Linked DNA regions of Xenopus tropicalis. The protein of the gene in region 1 binds, or shares a complex with, the protein of each later gene. Links are inferred from orthologs where the notes say so. Each region holds a gene or a part of one and is shown in the gene's direction. Other genes may lie near its edges. The genes, in order: rbm15b, virma, cbll1, zc3h13 and mettl14.

Evidence for each region.
Region 2: rbm15b (region 1) and virma share a complex: the UniProt entries of both Homo sapiens proteins name them as parts of the WMM complex. The link is inferred for Xenopus tropicalis from reciprocal best matches to the Homo sapiens genes RBM15B and VIRMA.
Region 3: rbm15b (region 1) and cbll1 share a complex: the UniProt entries of both Homo sapiens proteins name them as parts of the WMM complex. The link is inferred for Xenopus tropicalis from reciprocal best matches to the Homo sapiens genes RBM15B and CBLL1.
Region 4: rbm15b (region 1) and zc3h13 share a complex: the UniProt entries of both Homo sapiens proteins name them as parts of the WMM complex. The link is inferred for Xenopus tropicalis from reciprocal best matches to the Homo sapiens genes RBM15B and ZC3H13.
Region 5: rbm15b (region 1) and mettl14 share a complex: the UniProt entries of both Homo sapiens proteins name them as parts of the WMM complex. The link is inferred for Xenopus tropicalis from reciprocal best matches to the Homo sapiens genes RBM15B and METTL14.

What each region holds. Positions count from the first base shown.
Region 1 is NC_030680.2:127,344,308-127,349,258, reverse strand, and holds the start of rbm15b (putative RNA-binding protein 15B), read left to right. Parts: upstream 1-1,664; 5' UTR 1,665-2,110; coding exon 2,111-4,471; 3' UTR 4,472-4,951. UniProt on the Homo sapiens protein: RNA-binding protein that acts as a key regulator of N6-methyladenosine (m6A) methylation of RNAs, thereby regulating different processes, such as alternative splicing of mRNAs and X chromosome inactivation mediated by Xist RNA.
Region 2 is NC_030682.2:127,965,957-127,970,165, reverse strand, and holds part of virma (protein virilizer homolog), read left to right. Parts: intron 1-1,331; coding exon 1,332-1,457; intron 1,458-3,575; coding exon 3,576-3,848; intron 3,849-3,970; coding exon 3,971-4,209. UniProt on the Homo sapiens protein: Associated component of the WMM complex, a complex that mediates N6-methyladenosine (m6A) methylation of RNAs, a modification that plays a role in the efficiency of mRNA splicing and RNA processing.
Region 3 is NC_030679.2:76,283,893-76,288,101, reverse strand, and holds part of cbll1 (E3 ubiquitin-protein ligase Hakai), read left to right. Parts: intron 1-172; coding exon 173-214; intron 215-2,652; coding exon 2,653-3,685; 3' UTR 3,686-4,209. UniProt on the Homo sapiens protein: E3 ubiquitin-protein ligase that mediates ubiquitination of several tyrosine-phosphorylated Src substrates, including CDH1, CTTN and DOK1. Targets CDH1 for endocytosis and degradation.
Region 4 is NC_030678.2:134,321,538-134,326,187, reverse strand, and holds the start of zc3h13 (zinc finger CCCH domain-containing protein 13), read left to right. Parts: upstream 1-1,387; 5' UTR 1,388-1,931; intron 1,932-4,650. UniProt on the Homo sapiens protein: Associated component of the WMM complex, a complex that mediates N6-methyladenosine (m6A) methylation of RNAs, a modification that plays a role in the efficiency of mRNA splicing and RNA processing.
Region 5 is NC_030677.2:70,530,663-70,534,871, forward strand, and holds part of mettl14 (N6-adenosine-methyltransferase non-catalytic subunit), read left to right. Parts: intron 1-2,267; coding exon 2,268-2,356; intron 2,357-3,153; coding exon 3,154-3,241; intron 3,242-4,209. UniProt on the Homo sapiens protein: The METTL3-METTL14 heterodimer forms a N6-methyltransferase complex that methylates adenosine residues at the N(6) position of some mRNAs and regulates the circadian clock, differentiation of embryonic stem cells and cortical neurogenesis.

The sequences.
Region 1 (4,951 bases):
AGTTTTACTTCCTGGCAAGGTTGACTTGGGATTTACCTCACTGGTAGAAAGAGAAACTGTGCACTTTGCTCATGCTTTTAGGAGGGTCTTTGATGGTCTCCCATAAGCCTTCATGAGAATAGTTTTGTGCTTAAGCTTTTCCTCGAGAGCTCATTGTCATTTGGGGTTGTTCCACTCTAGTTTCTTCTGATCACAAGACTCTTTAATTTCTGATTCGTCCTCCTTGTTTGGTGACCTACCATAAATGGACATTTCCCTTTTTATTACTGTCTTTAAAGCCAGACTCTGCCCAGTAATCCAGAACTTTACTGTATGGTCTGCAGCAGGTTTGTGCTAATTTGGAACAATATGGGCTTATAGACCAATGTTGCCTCTATGTAAAGGTAAAATAACTCTTCTGTTTGTAGTAGACAGTTTTTCCCTTGAAGAAACTCTTCTTCTTCTCCAAACTGGCTAAGGTCCTCATCAAAATATCTAGGGCAGCCACATGACTTGTTCAGAGGGTTCAGATTTGGTTTGGCCAAACAATTGGCAGTTGACAGTTCTGTCTATCCACTGCTACTGTAAAATCTGCCTTGTTCTACAACCATTATCCGCCTGCTGACCTATCCCTCGCCTACACAATCCAGTTCACTGCTCAGAACCTGCTCTGTTGGTCTTCTATGCAATCCAGCCACTTTTGGGAGGCTCCCCTTTCAATAAGCCTTCATTTTTACTTTTTTATAGTTTTTGAATTGCCTTCTTCTTCTGAATATTTACAGCTTTCAAATGGAGGTCACTGGCCCCATCTATAAAACAAATGCTCCGTAAATCCACAAATGTATTATTATTGCTACTTTTTATTATCAATCTTTCTATTCAGGCCCTTTGCCTATTTGTTTTCGTCTCTCATTCAAATCAATGCATGGTTGCTAGGGAAATTTGGGCCCTGGCAACCAGATTGCTCAAATTGCAAACTGGAAAGCTGCTAAATGAGAAGCTAAATGATTTAAAAACCACAAATAATAAAAAATGAAGGCCAATTGCAAATTGTCTCAGAATATCACTCTCTACACCATACTAAAAGTTATTTCAAAGTAAACTATCCCTTTAGGCTGATGCCACACGTGGCGTAGGGCTGACTTTTTTGGCAAGAGGAAAAACGCTTGCCGAAAATTCAGCCCTACACCTGCTACTTGTGCCTGCACCCGAATGAATGGAATACGCTCGGGTGCAGGCACATGTAGCCGATATACGCATGAAAACGCGAGAGAATGCAAAGTCTCACGTTTTCATTGGCTACATGTGCCTGCCCCCGAGCGTATTCCATTCATTCGGGTGCAGGCACAAGTAGCAGGCGTAGGGCTGAATTTTCGGCAAGCGGAAAAAATCAGCCCTACGCCACGTGTGGCATCAGCCTTAACGTGTGATGAATTATAACAAGGGCTTTTAGGAAGAATCCCTGCAGCCCAGAGACAAAACTTCAAAGTGAAAAGATGCACAACTACCCTACCATTCCTTATTGGTTATTATCTCTTCATGCTCCCACTACAAGCAGGTATGTACCCCTCCTGCCTACACAAAGCCATGTTGTACCTGCCCAGCACCCAACCTCCCATGTTACACCTACAGCCCCAGCATGATGGGGAATGATCACACAGCAGGGTGTTTCTTATTGGATAAAGTTTTATTGTTTATGTATTTGTTTATACCTTTCAATATTCTTCTTTCATTTTGACTTCCAAACGCCCCTGGTTGCAAGGCCAAGTAACCCATAGCAACCAGATTGTCTTAGCACTTCCTGTCAACAACGTAATAATTCTTAATTTTAAGTTTCCTCACCGTTTACTCAGCTAGCAGGTTACAGAGCCATTATTACACATTATAGTATCACCCTATTTACCCCTGACTATCCCAGTCAAGACGTTGGAGAGACTCTTCTGACGGCGGCCATGGCCTTTCTGCCCCCACTTGCCCCCCACTTGCCCTTGCTGCAGGGAACCTTTGTGATGCATTTAGAAGTGACAGTCTCTGTTAGTCAGAAGTGACAGGCGCTTTGGGGGCCCGCCGGCGGCCCATGTGACCCTCCGCGCCACACCCTTGCTTGCGTCACCGCTCCCGGCGCCCCCTGATGACATCACTCTCCCTCCCCACTCATTGTGGAAGATGGCGGCTGCACAGTAAGCGCGCCTCCCCCGCGTGTGGTGACGGAGCGGCGAGCAGCCAGCAGCGGGACGTGAGCATGAAGCGACAGAGCGAACGCGGGGAGCAGAGCCCCGGCCGCGCCAAGAGAGCCAGAGAGAGGCGGGAGGAGGCCGGAGGGGCTCACCATAAAAGTTCGGGAAGGCGGGAGAGGCCTAACCAGGCCGGGGCCTCCTCCTCTTCGTCTTCTTCCTCCTCCCGCCGGCCCAGAGATCCGCCGCCCCGGCCCCTTCTACTGACCGCTCCGGCCGAGGCCCCGGGCCTGGAGTACAAGACGCTGCTGATCAGTAACCTGGGCTCGGCGCTGCCCGACCCGCTGCTGGAGGATTGGCTCTTCCGGCACTTCCAGCGCTTCGGAGACATCAGTGTGAAGCTGTCACACACCCCGGAGCTCGGCCGGGTCGCCTACATCAACTTCCGCAGGCCGGCAGAGGCTCGCCAGGCCCGACACGCCAAGGTACGGCCGGTGCTGTACGATCGGCAGCTGCGTGTGGAGCCGGTATTCACTCAGCAACCGACCCGCCGGCCTGAGCCTTCCCCCCTCTCCCTCACCTCTCTGCCCAGCTACCCCCGATCCACTTCCCCCAGGCACCTGCTCCTGCCCTCCTCTCTCACCTCTACAGCGGCCTCTGGGGATGGCTACTACCCACTCTATGAGGAGAGAGTCCGGGGGGCCACCTACGGTATGAGCAGCACCAGTACGGCCGACGATGAGCAGCTGGCCCCAGAGGATGACCACCGAGCCACCCGCAATCTCTTCATTGGCAACTTAGACCACATGGTGTCGGAGGTGGATTTACGGAGGGCATTCGATAAATACGGCCCCATAGAGGAAGTGGTGATCAAGCGCCCGGGGAGGGGCCAAGGAGCGGCGTACGCCTTCCTCAGGTTCCAAAACCTGGACATGGCCCATCGGGCAAAGCTTGCAATGAGCGGGCGCTTGTTGGGGCGCAATGCAATGAAAATTGGCTATGGGAAACCCAACCCGAGCACACGACTATGGGTGGGGGGGCTGGGCCCCAACACCTCTCTCGCAGCGCTAGCTCGGGAGTTTGACCGCTTTGGGAGTATCCGTACAGTGGATTATGTCAAAGGAGACAGTTTTGCATACATCCAGTATGAAAGCTTAGATGCCGCCCAGGCGGCTTGTACGCAGATGAGGGGCTTTGCACTGGGAGACCGTAGGCTTCGGGTAGACTTTGCCACTGTGTCGCCGGACGAGGCTGCTGCAGCTGCATCTCGCTATGCTCCTCTTCAGACAACTCCATACCCTCTGCCTCTGCCCTATGAGTTGTTGCAACCTGAAGCTTATAGCAGGCATCGTACTGCTCTGGACCCAGATCTCAGAGTGAGAGATAGGACCCCTCCGCATCTTCTATACTCCGATCGCGAGAGACCGTTTGTGGAAGCCGGCTGGGTAAATTCTGAGCGGCGCAGCTCAGGCCAAGGTGCACGGAGCAGAAGTGGGGACCGTGGGGGTGGAGGTGGTGGGGGCAGCAGTTCAAAAACACGGGAGGAAAGAAGGCGACGACGCAGCTTGTCTAGCGACAGAGTTCGGAGTAGAGCCGAGAGGAGCCCAGATCGTCAAAGGAGGGAGCCTCCGGAAAGAGACCCTAGTACTCCTCCATCCCCGCAACACAATCACAGACCTTCATCCCAGGACAAGCCCCGGCCCCCAACCCCTGACCCGCCCCAGCCCCGCAGGAATCACCATCCTAGGCCTCCTGAGCCACCTGCTGAGCGGCAATCCCCTGGAGTGGAGAAGGGACGGACGCTGCCACCTGTGTGGTGTGGGCATTTGGTACTTAAAAACAGCTGTTTTCCAACCTACCTTCATTTCTTAGAGGGTGACCGTGATGTGCCAGGTGCCCTACTCAAGGACCGTTCTTCTACAAGTGGAGGCAGCCTGGCACAACTTAAGATTGCCCAGCGACTCCGGCTTGACCAGCCTAAGCTTGAGGAGGTCACCCGTAAAGTGAGACAGGGCACTGCCGGAGGCTATGCTGTACTTCTTGCCACACAAGCCCCACAAAATGAGGGGGCAATACCTGGGGAACCTGGCTTACAGCGCCGCCTTCTCAGGAACCTGGTCTCCTACCTAAAACAGAAACAGGCGGCTGGAGTTATCAGCCTACCAGTGGGAGGGAGCAACAAGGGCAGGGACCCCAGCGGCATGTTGTATGCATTCCCTCCATGTGACTTCCACCAGCTGTACCAGCAAAGTGCTCAGCGCCTTGTGGGCAAGCTAGAAGAGAACATGATTATTGTGTTGGTGAAAGACAGCGCCTAATCCAGAAGTCACTGTGCCCAATGGTGCCCTGTTAGACTGTCCTGTGCCTACACTGTCCTCTCTCTGTTATGGATTTCTGAATTGATGGGGGCGGGCAACCAAAAATATGGGGGAGTTCAAGTTAGGACTGAACTGAGTGGAATAAATCATGTATCACTTTAGTTGTGTAAAAGGTTCTGCAACCTAATTTACAAAGTGTTTTCTAACCCTGTTAGCTGTCGGTGTTCCAATGCACGGCAATGGCTATTGTCACAGGTATATAAGGCAGTCAGAAGTGAGGAATCATGGGAAGGTACCACCACCCCGCTCACTGTAGTCTCTCCTCCACTTAGGGCCCCCTTTTCTAGTCAAATTCCAACAGTAAACTTGCTGCTGGACAGATCCATTTTCCTTTTGTGTGCGCGTGTGTGTTATTTTTACATCCTGCCCCTTAGTGTATTCTGCTCCCTAGCTCCGTAATCGAGCACCTTAGAAAAGCTT
Region 2 (4,209 bases), on another chromosome or scaffold:
CAAGCAAATTTTAAACACCCCTCATCAATGTGGGAGGTAAGGGCACCTCTGTCCTTCAGTGGAGTGTTTGTCCTATAGGAGGAGACCAGATGGATATATTCTCAGTTCCTGATTGGCAGGCAGCACAGTCTGGAATTAGCAGAGTATTCTTGCAGGGTCTAGCTAGTGTAGAAACTATTCATGCTTTTCTTGTATGTATTCCAAAAATAATTCTTCCAGAAAAAAAATAAAAAAAAAAATAAAAAAAATAATGGTATATTTAAATTAAAATCCATAGCTATAGTAAATTTTCAACACAGGCCTATTTATTTTTTTGTTTTTTTTGTTTAATGTTGCCTCTTTTAAAAGTAACTAAATCTTAAAGTAGATGATAGATGAAGTTAGAAGTTGCTGGTCTCCTTGCCTCTCCTCATTTATAGAAAAAAGGCAGGTTCGCTTTTAAAATGTTGAATACAAAATAAGTTAATTAGCATGCTTTGACTCAGGGTTGGGCAAATCCATAGCCCTCCAGATCTTTTAAACTGCCTGTTTCCTGCTGGCTGAGAAAGTGCTGGGAACTGTAGTTTAACTGAATGGTCGCTAGTTTCTTCTCCCTGGTGTTAACCCTTTGTATTTGTAAGATATAGCCCTATCACTTGTTCTTTTCCATATGAGATTTAGTTCCCCAAATCTGCGGCAAACAGTGGTAAGATGAAATTGTGTGTACAAACTTATGCCGAGGTCCCACCAGGAGATTTGTTGTCGGGCTTTTTTTCGTAGCCACGACTTATCTCTAAAAGAGTAACTGTGACAAAATAAGGCTTATTAATTAAAGTAGGCACAAGTACTAGATGCAATAAAGGGCTCAAATTGTGCTATTGCATTGCTGTATAGCTACTGTGCCTATCTGCCCTCCCCTAAGTGAGCAAGGTGTAGTCTAGGTGTCCTTTTGCATCACATATCAGAGTATTTCTACGCATTTTCACCCATAGCATAGGGAGTAAGCATTTGCAACGGATTGCAGCAGGTGCAAATTCACCAGAATACGGACCATTGGGATCATTGCAAATATTTCCCAATAAGTCTCCTGGTGTGACGGTGGCTTTACATGCATTTTTCAGATATTTGTAGGAAAAGTAACACTGCTATCAGCCACTCCAGTAAAATATATATTATTTAATAAGAAGCTGCCTGTCCAATCCACTTTGAATATTGGGCTAAAACTATAGATCTTGTTCTATAGTATTTAAACTAAATACCACCGTACTGCTCCTTTTTATTAGATGTGTGCAAGTCGCTACACATTGGGCCTTCTGCTAATGAGTGGGTTGCATTTGGTCTGCTTCTTTCAGTTGAAGAAGACAAAGATGATCAATACAATGGTAGCCCCCCAAGGCCGCAGCCGAGAGGGCCCAGAACTCCCCCTGGCCCTCCGCCACCAGACGATGATGACGAGGATGAGCCTATGCCAGCCTCGGGTAAATGTACAGTTTGGTGATTGATGAAACCTTTGTTTACCTCATCTGCTGTAAATCCGCAGGCTTTATCTAATGCTGTGTGGTCTGTTATGACAAGAAGTCGTCCTCTTCCCCAGCATGCTTCCTGTGTATTGCTAAATGCTCTGTAGTCTGTTCTGCATATCTGCTTGTTGCTCTGCTGCTGTGGTCAGTATCACACTTTCCCAGGACACGCAGAGCTCTGGACTCGACACAAGACCCAGGACTCTGGTGCTTGTGTCTCTGAGCTGTGCTTTCCTTCTGTGTCTCTGTGTGAATAATCCAGCTTTCCTGTTTTATGGCAGTTTTATTGTAACTTCTGCATTTTTAAAGTTGAATAAGACTGTTTGTTTTTGCTTTCTAACTGCATGAGTCCTTTATAAACCATCAGGGTACTTTAACATTCTCATATTTTTTTTTTTTTTTTTTAATTTGTCACAGTGAATGCAGTACTGGATGCAATTTACACTATTTTGTTTCATTGTTTTATATATTTGGCTGTGTTGCTTGTCCACAGCATATTTGGTCAGGAGCGTTCAGCAAGTCTAGTCTGCTTTTTGCCTGATTTTTGGTGCTTAGGCTCAGACTGGGCTCTGTGTATATCCCAAGCATTTTTCCTTTATAGTAGGTGCTTGTACCTTATGAGCTGGATGAGTGTTCTATGCATGTACTAATATTTTGCTAAAGTAACACATTCTGATGGTACACTTGACCTTTACTCTTTGTAATTGTGACTATTCCTTAATTGTGGAACAATTTCCCAACTCTGCCTGTTTGATGATATATGTCCTCTTTTATCTATCTGTTAAGGTCATTAAAGGGAACCTATTCCTGTTTATAAATGGGGATTCTATTCTACCTATTATGGTTAAGAATTAAGACCTAGGATATTTTGTAATACAGGGCATTCCTCCTGTGTGACTGCATTTTTAAAGGGGTAATTCACCTTTGTTAACTTTTAGTATGTTAAAGCATGGCCAATTCTTAGCAACTTTTCAGTTGGTTTTCTTTATTTTGTATAGTTTAGTAATTGTTTGCTGCTGCCTATTGACTTTTTCCATCTTTCAAATAGGGGTCACTAACCCTTGTAGCCAAAAAACAATTGTTCTGTGAGGCTACAATTATATTGTTATTTTTACTTCTCTTTCTATTCAGGCCTCTCCTATTCATATTAGTCTCTTTCAATCCAGGGCCTGGTTTCTAGAGTAATAGAAACCATAGCAGCCATATAGGTGCTGAACTTCCAAACTGAAGTGTTGCTGCAGTCATTACATCAGTGATCCCCAGCCAGTGGCTTGTGAGCAACATTTTGCTCACCATCCCCTTTTAGTTGCATCTAGTGGCCTCAAAGTAGTTGCCCATTTTCACATTTCTGGCTTGAAGGCAAGTTTTGGAGATACAGACACAGCAGAGCCTCCTGCAGGCTAGCAGTCCACATGGAGCTGCCAAATAGCCAATCAAGGCCCCGACTTGGCACCCCTGCTTGTGTGGCTCACCAACACTTTCATTACATCTGAGTGTGGCTTACAAGTGAAAAAGGTTGGGGCTACCTGCTCTACAGAATAACTAATAGTTAATTTTAAGGTGAATAACCCCTTTAAACTATAAACAATAGAACAGCCGTTTATCTGCTACTGTTGCATCTCTATTGCAGTCTTTGGAAAATACCTAAGAATATAGGGGAATGCTGCTGCTACCCTTGTATAATGATTATACAGTGCTCTTTCTTTATACTAGCACCCTTTTTATAGCACATAATTAGTTCAAGTAAGATTTTATTAACAAATGTGCATATCATTATAATGAAATATCACTGTTAAAATGCAATTGGTAGGCAAAGTTTAAAACGGGCAGTATATTCAGGAAGCATTGTATTCAGAGAAAACTCTCTTGCTGTCTGTTAGTGAAAGTTAAACCATAACCCTATCATTACTTGGGGGTAGTTCCCATTAAGTATGTCTTGAATTGCATCACCCTTCATCATAGTCAGAAGATGTGTTCTCTATCTCCAAACCCCCTATAAATCACATGTACATAACTTGAAAGCTGCTTGTTTTTCTGACAGGCCCTTTGATTTGCCTTGTTCCTTTTCTGTGTCAGGTGGAGAGATAGAAGATGATGGATTACATAGAGAAGGATATTTTGAACCCATATCCCCTGATCGAGTTTCTGTCCACCCTGATGGCAACTATTCAGATGAAGACGATGGGGAAGATGATCCCCAGGATGAGGGAGATGAAGACGATGAGGATGAAGATGATGATGACGATATCAATGCTGAAGATGAGGAGGATGAGGAAGATGATCAGACTGGTGACAGCATAGCTGACGAAGAGGATGAAGATGATGAGGGTGATGACGAGGATTTAGAAGGTGTGTTTGAATTAGATTTTCCTGCTTATATAGTTGTTAATGTAACCATGGAAAACCCACTGTGTAATTTGCTGTACTGTAAAGAAAAAAGATTAACAAAATACCTTTATTCCATTTGGCAGATGATGGCTACGAACAAATTTCAAGTGATGAAGATGGGATTGCTGATTTTGAGCGGGAGGCATTTAAATACATAGACTATACTCCTGAGGATTTGGCATCTGTACCCACCATGGCCTATGACCCATATGACAGGGACTTGGGCCCTCTTCTATACTTCAGTTGTCCGTACAGAACTGCATTTGAGAATGAAATCTGCAGACTTCAGGAACTAGATCTAGACAAAGAAAACTCTGGGGAA
Region 3 (4,209 bases), on another chromosome or scaffold:
ATTTTTTAATATTATTTTAGCTGAGGGATGTTCTTATTATTCTAGTCATGTGATTTTTTTTTGATTTTTTTTTGGTTCACTTTAAATACCTTACAGGGTGGAGCTAAATGGAATGTGTATTTTGTTTTTTTTTTATTTTGTGGTGTAATGTCTCTTTTTCCCCTCCCAAAAGAACACTTGTTGAAGAAAGTACTGACACCTTTAAGCGTATGAGGTAGGTTCTAATAGTTTAGCAATTTCTTAAGTAACTGCAAAGATATGGTTAGGAATGTTTTTTTCCCCAAAAAAATATTGCAGCATATTTGCTGATGAGCTACATTTCTTGATGTTAACACCTCAACTTACTTAAGAACAGCCTTGCCACACAGAATGTGGGGATGATTTTGTTGTAATTTTATGAGCGTGATTACATTTAATTCCTGATGAGCAAGGAATCTTTTTGTTTTAAAAATATAGCAGAGTTTGTTTTTTATTATGCATAAAACATGTTTCATCCTGAAAAACTTTTGAAAGCTTTAAAATAGCAATGTTCTGGATTGCTCTTTTTATTGTTGATTAGCACTGGTTCTTTATATGAGTTCACTGAAACTGATATATTGCAATAGTTTAGTTGGGCAAGAAGTATGGTACCTATTTTCTAGAATGCTCAAAAGCTGGGGTTTTCTGGCTCTGTGAACTGGATCACCATACGTAAAGAATAACTTTAATATTAAAGCCAATAAGGTTGTTTTGCCACTAATATGGATTAATGTTATCATAGATGTAATCAAGAACAAGACATTTTTATTGCAAAAAGAAAGGGAAAAAAAAGTAACTATTTGCTATACATGGAGTGTATGAGACATGACCTGTTGTTCGGAGCTTTCTCTACCTTACAAATTAGAGATCCCATACATTTTGTTATTGCGATTTTACTTTTAATAATTGTTGGGATAGGTTTGGTGCTTTGGCAATAACTAAAGGTTCAAGGTTGTATTCTGTTAAATGAGAAAAAGAAAGTGATGCTGAAATAGATGCAAGCTCAAATCTTTGCAATTGTGAGCTCTTAATGAAAAGGGCTGTCTTTATTTCTTATATCGATCAGTATTAGCGTAGTTGATGCACATCCTTCCGCATGTTGACACTTAAAAGATATAAAACATGCAGCCCAACATTAGGTAAATTTTGCAATTAGTTTTTTTTACTGATCTGGAACGGCTTTACTGATAAAATCAAAGCTGGAATAGGAATTTAAAAAACTTGAGTTTTCCTCAGAATTTACCTGATGTTTAACAATGTATGTTTCTGTATCCATTCAATTAACTACTTTTTTTCTGTAGCTAAACAGAGACAGATTATGGCTTAGCAACCTAAACAGTTTATTCACCCACAGGGATACACTTTTGTGATTTAGTGTAGCTGTTTATCATGCTATGTAAATGACTAGGTCTGATTCAACTTGATGCAGACTGAGACTATTTCCTACATCTGATAAGCACTAAGATACCGTAAGGCAACAGTGTGGTTTGAAAAATAGTTATTCTGCAGATACAGCATGCATGCTGGAAATGTGGTGCATCAGATATCAACTTTCTTCTGCTAGCTTGAGCACTTATGGATATGATTGCCCATCTTTCACACTTGCACAGGTATGCCTAAAATGTAAAATGCCTAAGTCTCGTGCTAACGATGCCTTTGGCTATGCTGGACCTTTTAGTATGAGTAGTTGAGTTAAAGATTTTTACTTTACTGCTCAAGCATATAGTTCCAACAGATTCAAAGGAGTACTGGCAACGGACACAAGATGTTGGTAAATAGGAGCAAGAGACCCTGCCCATTAACTTTATACAGTTTGCATCATCACCCATAGTGATTCCAGTTGCTTACCTGCTACCCTGACTGGCACTTCTTCTTCTTCAAAAAAAAAAAAGCACAGCCTTGGGCACTACTTACCAAGTGCCGAGTTGCAATTTTCTTTAAATCTCGTAGATCCTCCAATTCTTGGAGGACTGTGCTCCAGGCTGGTATGTTTTTTGAAGATGGGTTTTTTTTTTTTTTTGGAACTGCTGGGGGCTACTTAAGAACTTGGCAACCTAAGTTATTTTAATGTTCCATCATTTGGTAGGTTTCTAAAGGCAAATCATTTAGCTTCTATCAATATTGTAGTCTTAAATGTTTCTAGATGGTTTTGCCCGTTAAAACTCTTGCAGCCATTAAATTATGATGTGATGTAACTGCATGACTGTTTTTAGAGTATTGCGTCAATGCCTATCTTTTTGAGGCAGCATATGCAATTATATATGCATTATTTAAAGTTCTGGTAAATTATGACATTGCATATGCAATTGTAATTTATTATAAGCCCCAACTGGCGATAATTTGAAGGTTTTGGTGGCTTTGTCTTTCAAATAATTTAAATAACTCTGATAAAGTTTAATTTGCTGGGGTTTCATTTAGAAATCCCCAATTTTAATTGTAGTAAATATGCCTCTTTACTTTTAAAACTAGGAAATTTTCATACTAGGTTGGAATATTTTTTTCATCTTACGTTAAATTAATTTGAGGAAGATTTTCATTCATTAAGAAAATGTCTCAAATAGGACATCGATGTGAATATTAGTATGTTTCCAAGCAGCATTAAGAAACTTCTGTTTTTTTTTTTTTCCTTTTCAGTTGCAATGATCCCGTTCAACGCATTGAGCAGTGTGCACGTGGCTCTCTCTTCATGTGTAGCATTGTGCAAGGTTGCAAGAGAACATATTTATCTCAAAGAGATCTGCAGGCACACATTAACCACCGTCACATGAGAGCTACCAAGCCAACTGCCCGACCTCAGCCTGAGCCAATCCATCCTCCTTTGGCCCCACCCCCAGCAGAAATCCCAGATCGCTTTATAATGCCCCCAGATAAGCATCATCTAAGTCATATGCCTCCAAAACAACATATATTGATGCCACCTCCCCCAATGCAACATGTTCCTCATGAGCATTTCAGTCAACAACATGATGATATTCGGCCCTCTCCAGCAGAAATTTCCTTAGCCCCGCCTCCACCCCGCTCTGTTAATCAGGATGCTTTCAGGATATCTACTAGACAGCATAGCAACTTAATCACAGTGCCTATTCAGGATGATTCCAATTCTGGTGCCAGAGAAACTCCTCAGGCACCTGGTCCTACTCTACATCATCCAGAGTATCCAGGCCAACCAGTGGTGGCTCATCCTCACCATATAATGCCTCCACAGCAGCACTATGCTCCACCCCCTCCACCACCCCCTCCAATCAGTCATCCAATGCAACACCCTCCTCAGGCAGCTGGGACACCTCACATGGTTTACAGCCAAGGTCCTCCACCACCAATGACAACTGCTCCACCACCAATAACACCCCCACCGGGACATATAATTGCTCAAATCCCACCATACATGAATCATCCTCCTCCAGGACCTCCGCCACCACAACATGGTGGTCCACCAGTTAATGCTCCTCCTCCTCATCATTATAATCCTAGTTCTTTGCCTCAGTTCAATGAAGATCAAGGAACTCTAAGCCCTCCCTTCACACAACCTGGGGGAATGAGCCCTGGGATGTGGCCTGCTCCAAGAGGACCACCGCCACCCCCCCGAATGCAAGGGCCTCCTTCTCAAGCCCCTATTCCAGGACCTCATCATCCAGATCAGGCCAGATACAGGCCGTATTATCAATGAAATACTTATGCTGAACTTGCTAGATGTAATCTTTTGCTTCAGCTGCAGGTTTATGGTAATGTGTATACAGTCTCTTCAGTTGTGGCTTTCCCTTTTTGGGGGTGTTGTAAGCAAAAAACACAATTTCAGTTGAACTACATGTTCTGAAAATTTTGACTTTAATCATACAGTCAGATTTGTGTTTTTTTAGATTTTGACAAACCGCCATCTTAAGATTATAACTTCTGCATTTCCTAGCAAGTGTCTCATTTTAATGATATGTTACACCCAATGTAATATAAATGTAAGTATATGTGTACAGTAGTAGTTGTTTTCCTTGAGTTGTAAGATATAACAAGTAACCGCTGTATAACATTGTAGAATTTTTACAGCCAGTAAAAAACTTGGTTTGTAAGATTAAATGTTCTGTTTTATTAATAATAAAAAAATCTTTATAGTCTGATTTACAAGCAAACTTCATAGCGGATAATGGCACTTACATTGATTAGAAAGTAGGCTGTTTATTCTGTCAGCTAGTGTCTGCC
Region 4 (4,650 bases), on another chromosome or scaffold:
ACCTACTCTCTCTAAATGTTCCTGTTATCTTCTAATGACTCTTTCTTGGTCTCTTCTTTGCTTTTCCTTTCTGTCCTATTCTCCTTCTGAATCCTTCATTTTCTGGTATATATGATTTGGCCTTATACCCCTTCAACTTAAGTTATTCCCTTTTTAACAATACCCCATTCTCTCCTACTAGACCCCAATTCTCAGTTCTCTCCTGTCTTGGGTGCAAGTGCAGAGCATGTTTTTCAATAACGCACAGAAACACTCCCTTTGGCCTCTTTTTGCTCAATTCTTTCTTTGGTAATGCAATGTGCACATGGGGATTGTTTCATCCTGCAAAAAAAGCAAACATAAAATGTGTATACAAAACTGCACTATGACTCAGACCCTGCAGGAACACTGAGAATCTGTATGCGGAGTGCGTTTCTGCCTATAACAAGACACCTTTCTCCATGGGTCCTTAGTCTTAAATGTGCATAGCTGCAGTGCTCCCACAAAAGTAATCAGTGGTTCCAAAGGTATAGAGGTACTGAAAGTTAGAGAAGAGATACAGTAAATGCTAAAGTGGACAGAAAAACAAATATATTTATGGAGCACTCAAATAAGGAGCAAGCTGAAGTCAAAGCAAGTAAGTTGTGTGGATCTAGGATGTAGTTTGAGCAGGAGGAGGCTCTGGATAAGAAATAGGATGAAGAGGCTTGGATGTGGAAAACTGATTAAGACTGCATACCCAGGACTACAACATGTTATTATCAGATTGCTAATGTCTGGATATGGCCGCTGGAGCACATGCTTGTGTATACACTAGAAGGCGGTGAGTTTGCAAGTGAGTGGCTGTAGCCAAGCAATATCTAACATACATCAAACTTGAAGGAACTGTTTTCCTGCAGCACATTCATGGCACTATGCATTTATCAAATGTTTTTTCACACTTGGATCTTTGCACTTGCCATCCATTTTAAGTCCCTTTGCCCAAGTAACCCCTACATAATGTTACATCTGTGAACACAATTGCATTTTTTGTTGTATATTCTCCCTGTGCTTTTGTGGGTTTCCTCCGGGTACTCCAAATTCCTCCAACACTCCAAAAACAGACAAGGTGGTTTAACTGGCTTCTGATAAACCTGATGACAGCTCTAGATATATGTATCTTTAAACTGTTAATAGTGTTTTGGCTTAAGAAAGTGCAACCCAATGGTTAACTGAATACAGAATGTGCATATACAGGGTCAAAACTCTGGGTCTTCAACAAGAGCAGCTGAGCCAAGCCTGGTACAAACAGGGAAACCATTAAAACCGAAAATGAATGTAAAGTGCATAATAAATCATAGGACTAATCTTTTTTTTAGCTTTATAACAGCCTAAGTTCTCCTAAGTCAAACACGCCCATCTTAGTTACTTCCCACAGCGCACAGCTACGTCACTTTGTTAGCGACCGCATGGAACCTTACTTTGAGACACACGGTCGCTTCTTATGACGTCTCGTTTCCATAGCCCGCAGTTGATTGGCCGTGTCTACTCTGACTGGATGAGCGCTCTCCATTGAGTTTGCGGGCTTCCCGGCAGGCGTAGCGGCGGTCCTGCTGTATCTCCGGCCTGCGCTCGCCTGAGCCGAGCCCGCCTGCTGTTTTGTTGCCGTCGCTGCGTCACGATCGCTCCGGGAAACCGGGATCAGCTGCGGCAGCTGAAGTGGTTGCCGCCGCAGTGGTGGAAGAAGAAGAAAAAGAGGAGAAGGAAGAAAAAGAGGGGTCAGGAGGAGCCGCTACGGCTGTTACGCGGAAAGGCAGAGAGGGGCGGCGAACCCAGCCGTGCTCGGGCGCTCAGTCACTCCGCGGCACTGGGAGACGCCGCTGAGCTCCCAGTAGCTGCCGCCAAACCCACAGCGGTCACGGCCCGGGATTCCTCAGCCAGCGGCGTTCGCCGCCGCTTCAGACGGCAACAAGGTGAGAGCAGCGCCCAATACTGTTCTACTGTTGTTACCCCTGTATCTGTCTGAGAGCGTATTAACTACAGGGGCACCCAGGATACTGGGGGGGGGGGGGGGGTTGTGCATCTTTGCCTTGGTGCAAGTTAGTGACACTTAGTTACCCCTGTATCTGTCTGAGAGCGTATTAACTACAGGGGCACCCAGGATAGGGGGGGGGGGGTTGTGCATCTTAGCCTTGGTGCAAGTTAGTGACACTTAGTTACCCCTGTATCTGTCTGAGAGCGTATTAACTACAGGGGCACCCAGGATACTGGGGGGGGGGGTTGTGCATCTTAGCCTTGGTGCAAGTTAGTGACACTTAGTTACCCCTGTATCTGTCTGAGAGCGTATTAACTACAGGGGCACCCAGGATACTGGGGGGGGGGGGGGGGGGGGGTTGTGCATCTTAGCCTTGGTGCAAGTTAGTGACACTTAGTTACCCCTGTATCTGTCTGAGAGCGTATTAACTACAGGGGCACCCAGGATACTGGGGGGGGGGTTGTGCATCTTAGCCTTGGTGCAAGTTAGTGACACTTAGTTACCCCTGTATCTGTCTGAGAGCGTATTAACTACAGGGGCACCCAGGATACTGGGGGGGGGGGGGGGGGGGGGGGTTGTGCATCTTAGCCTTGGTGCAAGTTAGTGACACTTAGTTACCCCTGTATCTGTCTGAGAGCGTATTAACTACAGGGGCACCCAGGATAGGGGGGGGGGGGGGTTGTGCATCTTAGCCTTGGTGCAAGTTAGTGACACTTAGTTACCCCTGTATCTGTCTGAGAGCGTATTAACTACAGGGGCACCCAGGATACTGGGGGGGGGGGGGGGGGGGGGGGTTGTGCATCTTAGCCTTGGTGCAAGTTAGTGACACTTAGTTACCCCTGTATCTGTCTGAGAGCGTATTAACTACAGGGGCACCCAGGATACTGGGGGGGGGGGGGTTGTGCATCTTAGCCTTGGTGCAAGTTAGTGACACTTAGTTACCCCTGTATCTGTCTGAGAGCGTATTAACTACAGGGGCACCCAGGATACTGGGGGGGGGGGGTTGTGCATCTTTGCCTTGGTGCAAGTTAGTGACACTTAGTTACCCCTGTATCTGTCTGAGAGCGTATTAACTACAGGGGCACCCAGGATAGGGGGGGGGGGGGGGTTGTGCATCTTAGCCTTGGTGCAAGTTAGTGACACTTAGTTACCCCTGTATCTGTCTGAGAGCGTATTAACTACAGGGGCACCCAGGATACTGGGGGGGGGGGGGGGGGTTGTGCATCTTAGCCTTGGTGCAAGTTAGTGACACTTAGTTACCCCTGTATCTGTCTGAGAGCGTATTAACTACAGGGGCACCCAGGATAGGGGGGGGGGGGGGTTGTGCATCTTAGCCTTGGTGCAAGTTAGTGACACTTAGTTACCCCTGTATCTGTCTGAGAGCGTATTAACTACAGGGGCACCCAGGATAGGGGGGGGGGGGGGTTGTGCATCTTAGCCTTGGTGCAAGTTAGTGACACTTAGTTACCCCTGTATCTGTCTGAGAGCGTATTAACTACAGGGGCACCCAGGATACTGGGGGGGGGGGTTGTGCATCTTAGCCTTGGTGCAAGTTAGTGACACTTAGTTACCCCTGTATCTGTCTGAGAGCGTATTAACTACAGGGGCACCCAGGATACTGGGGGGGGGGGGGGGTTGTGCATCTTAGCCTTGGTGCAAGTTAGTGACACTTAGTTACCCCTGTATCTGTCTGAGAGCGTATTAACTACAGGGGCACCCAGGATAGGGGGGGGGGGGGTTGTGCATCTTAGCCTTGGTGCAAGTTAGTGACACTTAGTTACCCCTGTATCTGTCTGAGAGCGTATTAACTACAGGGGCACCCAGGATACTGGGGGGGGGGGGGGGGTTGTGCATCTTAGCCTTGGTGCAAGTTAGTGACACTTAGTTACCCCTGTATCTGTCTGAGAGCGTATTAACTACAGGGGCACCCAGGATAGGGGGGGGGGGGGGGTTGTGCATCTTAGCCTTGGTGCAAGTTAGTGACACTTAGTTACCCCTGTATCTGTCTGAGAGCGTATTAACTACAGGGGCACCCAGGATAGGGGGGGGGGGGGGGTTGTGCATCTTAGCCTTGGTGCAAGTTAGTGACACTTAGTTACCCCTGTATCTGTCTGAGAGCGTATTAACTACAGGGGCACCCAGGATACTGGGGGGGGGGGTTGTGCATCTTAGCCTTGGTGCAAGTTAGTGACACTTAGTTACCCCTGTATCTGTCTGAGAGCGTATTAACTACAGGGGCACCCAGGATACTGGGGGGGGGGGGGGGGGGGGGTTGTGCATCTTAGCCTTGGTGCAAGTTAGTGACACTTAGTTACCCCTGTATCTGTCTGAGAGCGTATTAACTACAGGGGCACCCAGGATAGGGGGGGGGGGGGTTGTGCATCTTAGCCTTGGTGCAAGTTAGTGACACTTAGTTACCCCTGTATCTGTCTGAGAGCGTATTAACTACAGGGGCACCCAGGATACTGGGGGGGGGGGGGGGGGGGGTTGTGCATCTTAGCCTTGGTGCAAGTTAGTGACACTTAGTTACCCCTGTATCTGTCTGAGAGCGTATTAACTACAGGGGCACCCAGGATAGGGGGGGGGGGGGTTGTGCATCTTAGCCTTGGTGCAAGTTAGTGACACTTAGTTACCCCTGTATCTGTCTGAGAGCGTAT
Region 5 (4,209 bases), on another chromosome or scaffold:
CAAAAATGGCAGATCATATGGTATATGTTCACATTGGGGCCCCTACATGCCACATACTTAGGTATACCTATACATATTGGGCATCAAATTGTTCAGTGGACCCCTGGTGTTCAAATTTAGGGTGTTTTATGTTGGTACCTAATGCTATATGGGAGATAAGATGCTGCAAAGTGGAAGCTCTGAGGGGATTTTTGGAATTGTCATCAAAATTGCTAACTTTAGAAATGCTTTGCGGCTTGGTACTTTGGAGTAGAAACACATAGGTACCCATTTTAGATTCGGGGGAATGTGTACTTTCCAAAAATATATGGCTTTCTGGGGTAAGCGTATTTTTTTGTAGCTTTATCCCACACAATATGATGTAAATGTGTTGATTTTGCAGAAGCTGGAATGACAAAAATGGCAGATCATATGGTATATGTTCACATTGGGGCCCCTACATGCCACATACTTAGGTAAACCTATACATATTGGGCATCATACTGTTCAGTGGACCTCTGGTGTTCAAATTTAGGGTGTTTTATGTTGGTACCTAATGCTATATGGGAGATAAGATGCTGCAAAGTGGAAGCTCTGAGGGGATTTTTGGAATTGTCATCAAAATTGCTAACTTTAGAAATGCTTTGCGGCTTGGTACTTTGGAGTAGAAACACATAGGTACCCATTTTAGATTCGGGGGAATGTGTACTTTCCAAAAATATATGGCTTTCTGGGGTAAGCGTATTTTTTTGTAGCTTTATCCCACACAATATGATGTAAATGTGTTGATTTTGCAGAAGCTGGAATGACAAAAATGATAGATCACATGGGGGTATGTTCACATTGGGGCCCCTACATGCCACATACTTAAGTAAACCTATACAAATTGGGCATCAAACTGTTCAGTGGACCCCTGGCGTTCATATTTAGGGTGTTTTATCTGGTTACTTTATGACCTGTAGGAGATAAGATACTATAGACAGGAAGCTTTGAAGCAATTTTTAATACATTTCACAAATTTTGATAAAAACCAATAACTTTAGGAAAGCATTGTGACTTGATAGTTTGGAGTAGACAGACAGTTGTGCCTATTCTGGATTCCACAGAATCTGTTCTTTCTAAAAATGTATAATTTTCTTGGATAAACCTTATGTTAGTGGAATTTGTGACCTTGAAATCTAAAGTATGCAGCTTTATGGAGCAGTGCTTTGGAAATTTGGTAGTGTACTGCTGGGAGTTTTTGACCTATACAAGTGAGAAATCTCCATAAAACTATATATATTTGGTATTGGCATGTTCAGGAGACATGGGACTTTCCAAATCAGTTGTATTTTTGTGCATAAAATATTTTTTGTTTCTGATGTATGTGTTTATATTATGGAAAATATAATTTTTTTTCATTTTTTAGATATCTAGAAGCCTATATCTTGTTACAGAATTGTAATTACACAAAAATTCCACCATATTTTGAAAGCTTAGGTTGTCCTGAAAAAAACAATATATCGTTTTCCTGGGTAAACTAAAAGTCCCCCCAAGGAAAAGCCCCTAAAGTGAAACAGTGCAAAATGTTCAAAAACTGTCTGGCAGTAGAAGTTCCACTTTGGTCCAAAACGGCTGGCAGTGAAAGGGTTAAACTCTGTTAAAGAATAGAGACAGCTACACCATCATCAGCTTCTAAGGTTCCTTATTGAAATATTGTTATTATCATTTATACAGCACCGTTAGCTCCTGCAATGATTTACAGGGATACAAATACAATACGTAACAGTTTACTTACACAGACAAACATTTTGGGCAATGTAAAGCTTGCGAGTTCATGTAGAAGTCAAAGGGAATTGTGCAAGCAAAATGTAAATTATTTTCTTAATTTCAAATTTTCATGGTTTATTTATGATTGTTTTTTTATATAGGTACACATTTAATTTTTTTGGTGAGTTTATTCAAATAAGAAAAAATTAGATTTTTAAGGTTCAGTGATCCCTATTCTTTTGGTGACACTTTGTCACTTGGGGAGAAGTGATCCCCGGCAAACAACAAATTACTATGTGTGTCATTTGGAATAGCTACACGTGCCTATTAAAGAGAAACCAGCAGAGGACCCTTACAAATAAGGTTTACTTGCTGCACAACTTCTTACTGACTGAAGGAGTTAAACATTTCTTTACATATACTCGGACCAAATGTTAGATATGTGACTGGGGAACTATTGATCGTTGAGCAATATTTTTAATGAATCTACAGAAAAAATATGGCTGAACTAAGAATAAACCTGATTTTTTCTGTTACAGCTGGGAGCTGAAAGTGCTGACAGTATTGGAGCTGTGCTTAACAGCAAGGATGAGCAAAGGGAAATCGCTGAAACAAGAGAAACTAGCCGGTAAATCTAGATGCATGATTGTTTGCATGTGTTTTCTGCTTCTTCCCTAGCTTTCTGCAAGTGCACTTAACAGTTACAAATTGTTATCTGTATATTCAGTAAGGAGGGAAGAGAGCCTCTTTTTAAAGAAGGTAATTGTGTCGAAAGTGCCAGATTCATATACGCATACAATTCTCATTGATTATTATAGAAAGGAATCTGCAACATTTCTTTGCATTTATGATGCTGAACACAGAAGAATCACAAATAATGACGAGGCCCTTCTGTCCAATGAGTTTTAGGCTATTGGCACACAAGGTGGTTTCTTCACTGGTATTTCAGCCAGTAGTGAACTAGCCATGCTTTTTACCCTATTAACACTAATGGATATTGTCTGACACTGCAAATACAGGCAGTTATTAGACTGAAAATGTTTCAACACATGTTTTGGACCAAAAACCATGGTAACATCTGTCGGGTTAAAGTAGGGATCTACAGGGGTCATTTTTGGGTTTCTCTGCCAGTTATTAGACGCTAGTAGATAAAGTGCCCTATATACCATTTGATAGCTGTTTTTTTTCTTAAGTAATTGGCAAAAAGATCATTATCTCAGAATTCTTCCTTAGTATATAGGTCATGTGATACTGGGAGAAATCATACTACAGAAAGCCATGTGTGCCTACTGAAGTCATACGATAGCATTGTAAACAAAACCTTTGTGTTCATTTTATAAATGGCCCCATAACTTTGTACACTAAATGAGGGCTGATGTCCATAATTCTGATTTTATATTTATTTAATTCTATTTTGTGTTTAAGTGCTTCATATGACACATCAGCAACAGTTTCCAAACGCAAAATGCCTGAAGAAGGGGAAGCAGATGAAGAGGTGATTGAGGAATGTAAGGTAAAGCATTTTTTTTTTACTTTATCTATAAAGCTGTCTGTGGGCAATGCTTTCAATATAAGCAGTGGAGATAATTTCACTCACCTTGCACTTTAAACAGTATACTCAAAATTTTACCACTTTAAAGGAACAGTTCAGTATAGAAATGAAACTGGGTTAAATAGATAGACTGCGCAAAATAAAAAATGTTTTCAATATAGTTAGGCAAAAATGTAATCTATAAAGGCTGGAGTGGTCAGATGTCTAACATAATAGCCAGATTCCTACTTCCTCCTTTACAGCTCTCTAAGCTATTAGGGCGAAGACACACGGGGGCAATTAGTGGGTGCAACTTTTTGAAAAGTCACGCGACTAATCTGCGCAACGAAATTGCGTGCACAATTTGTTGCGGCGTCGCAATTGTATTCCATGGGCGGAAAGTTGCTGCGATTACTCGCAGCAGCTGAGTTAATTAAAAGTCGCGGCGACTAATCTCCCCATGTGCCTTCGCACTTTGGAGTCACTAACCAATCAGTGACTTATTAAGTTGGGGGGGGGGGGGGGGTTGCATATGGGACATATCTGTTCAGTTAGTTTGAATTTGACCTCCGTGCTCACAAACTAACTGAACAGGTATGTCCCATGTGGTCCCCCATAAAGTCGCTGACTAACTGAGGTTATAGAGCTGAAAGCAGGAAGTAGTGTTTTGGCCATTATGTTAGACATCTACTCACTCCAGTCTTTATAGATTACATTTCTGTAAATTAGAAATATTTTTTTTTATTTTGTGCAGTCTATCCATTTGACCTTGTTTCATATTTATACTGAGCTGTTTCTTTTAGAATATATTTTTGGACAAGAACAGAATGTTTTACACGCACACACGGCTTTACTATAGCACCCCTTCCCTATTGCAGTTACAGATCACAGTAACCTTCTACAGCTGGCCAAGCTGTTCTTTCCACAACTTTGGTGCAAGTGTGTGAGGC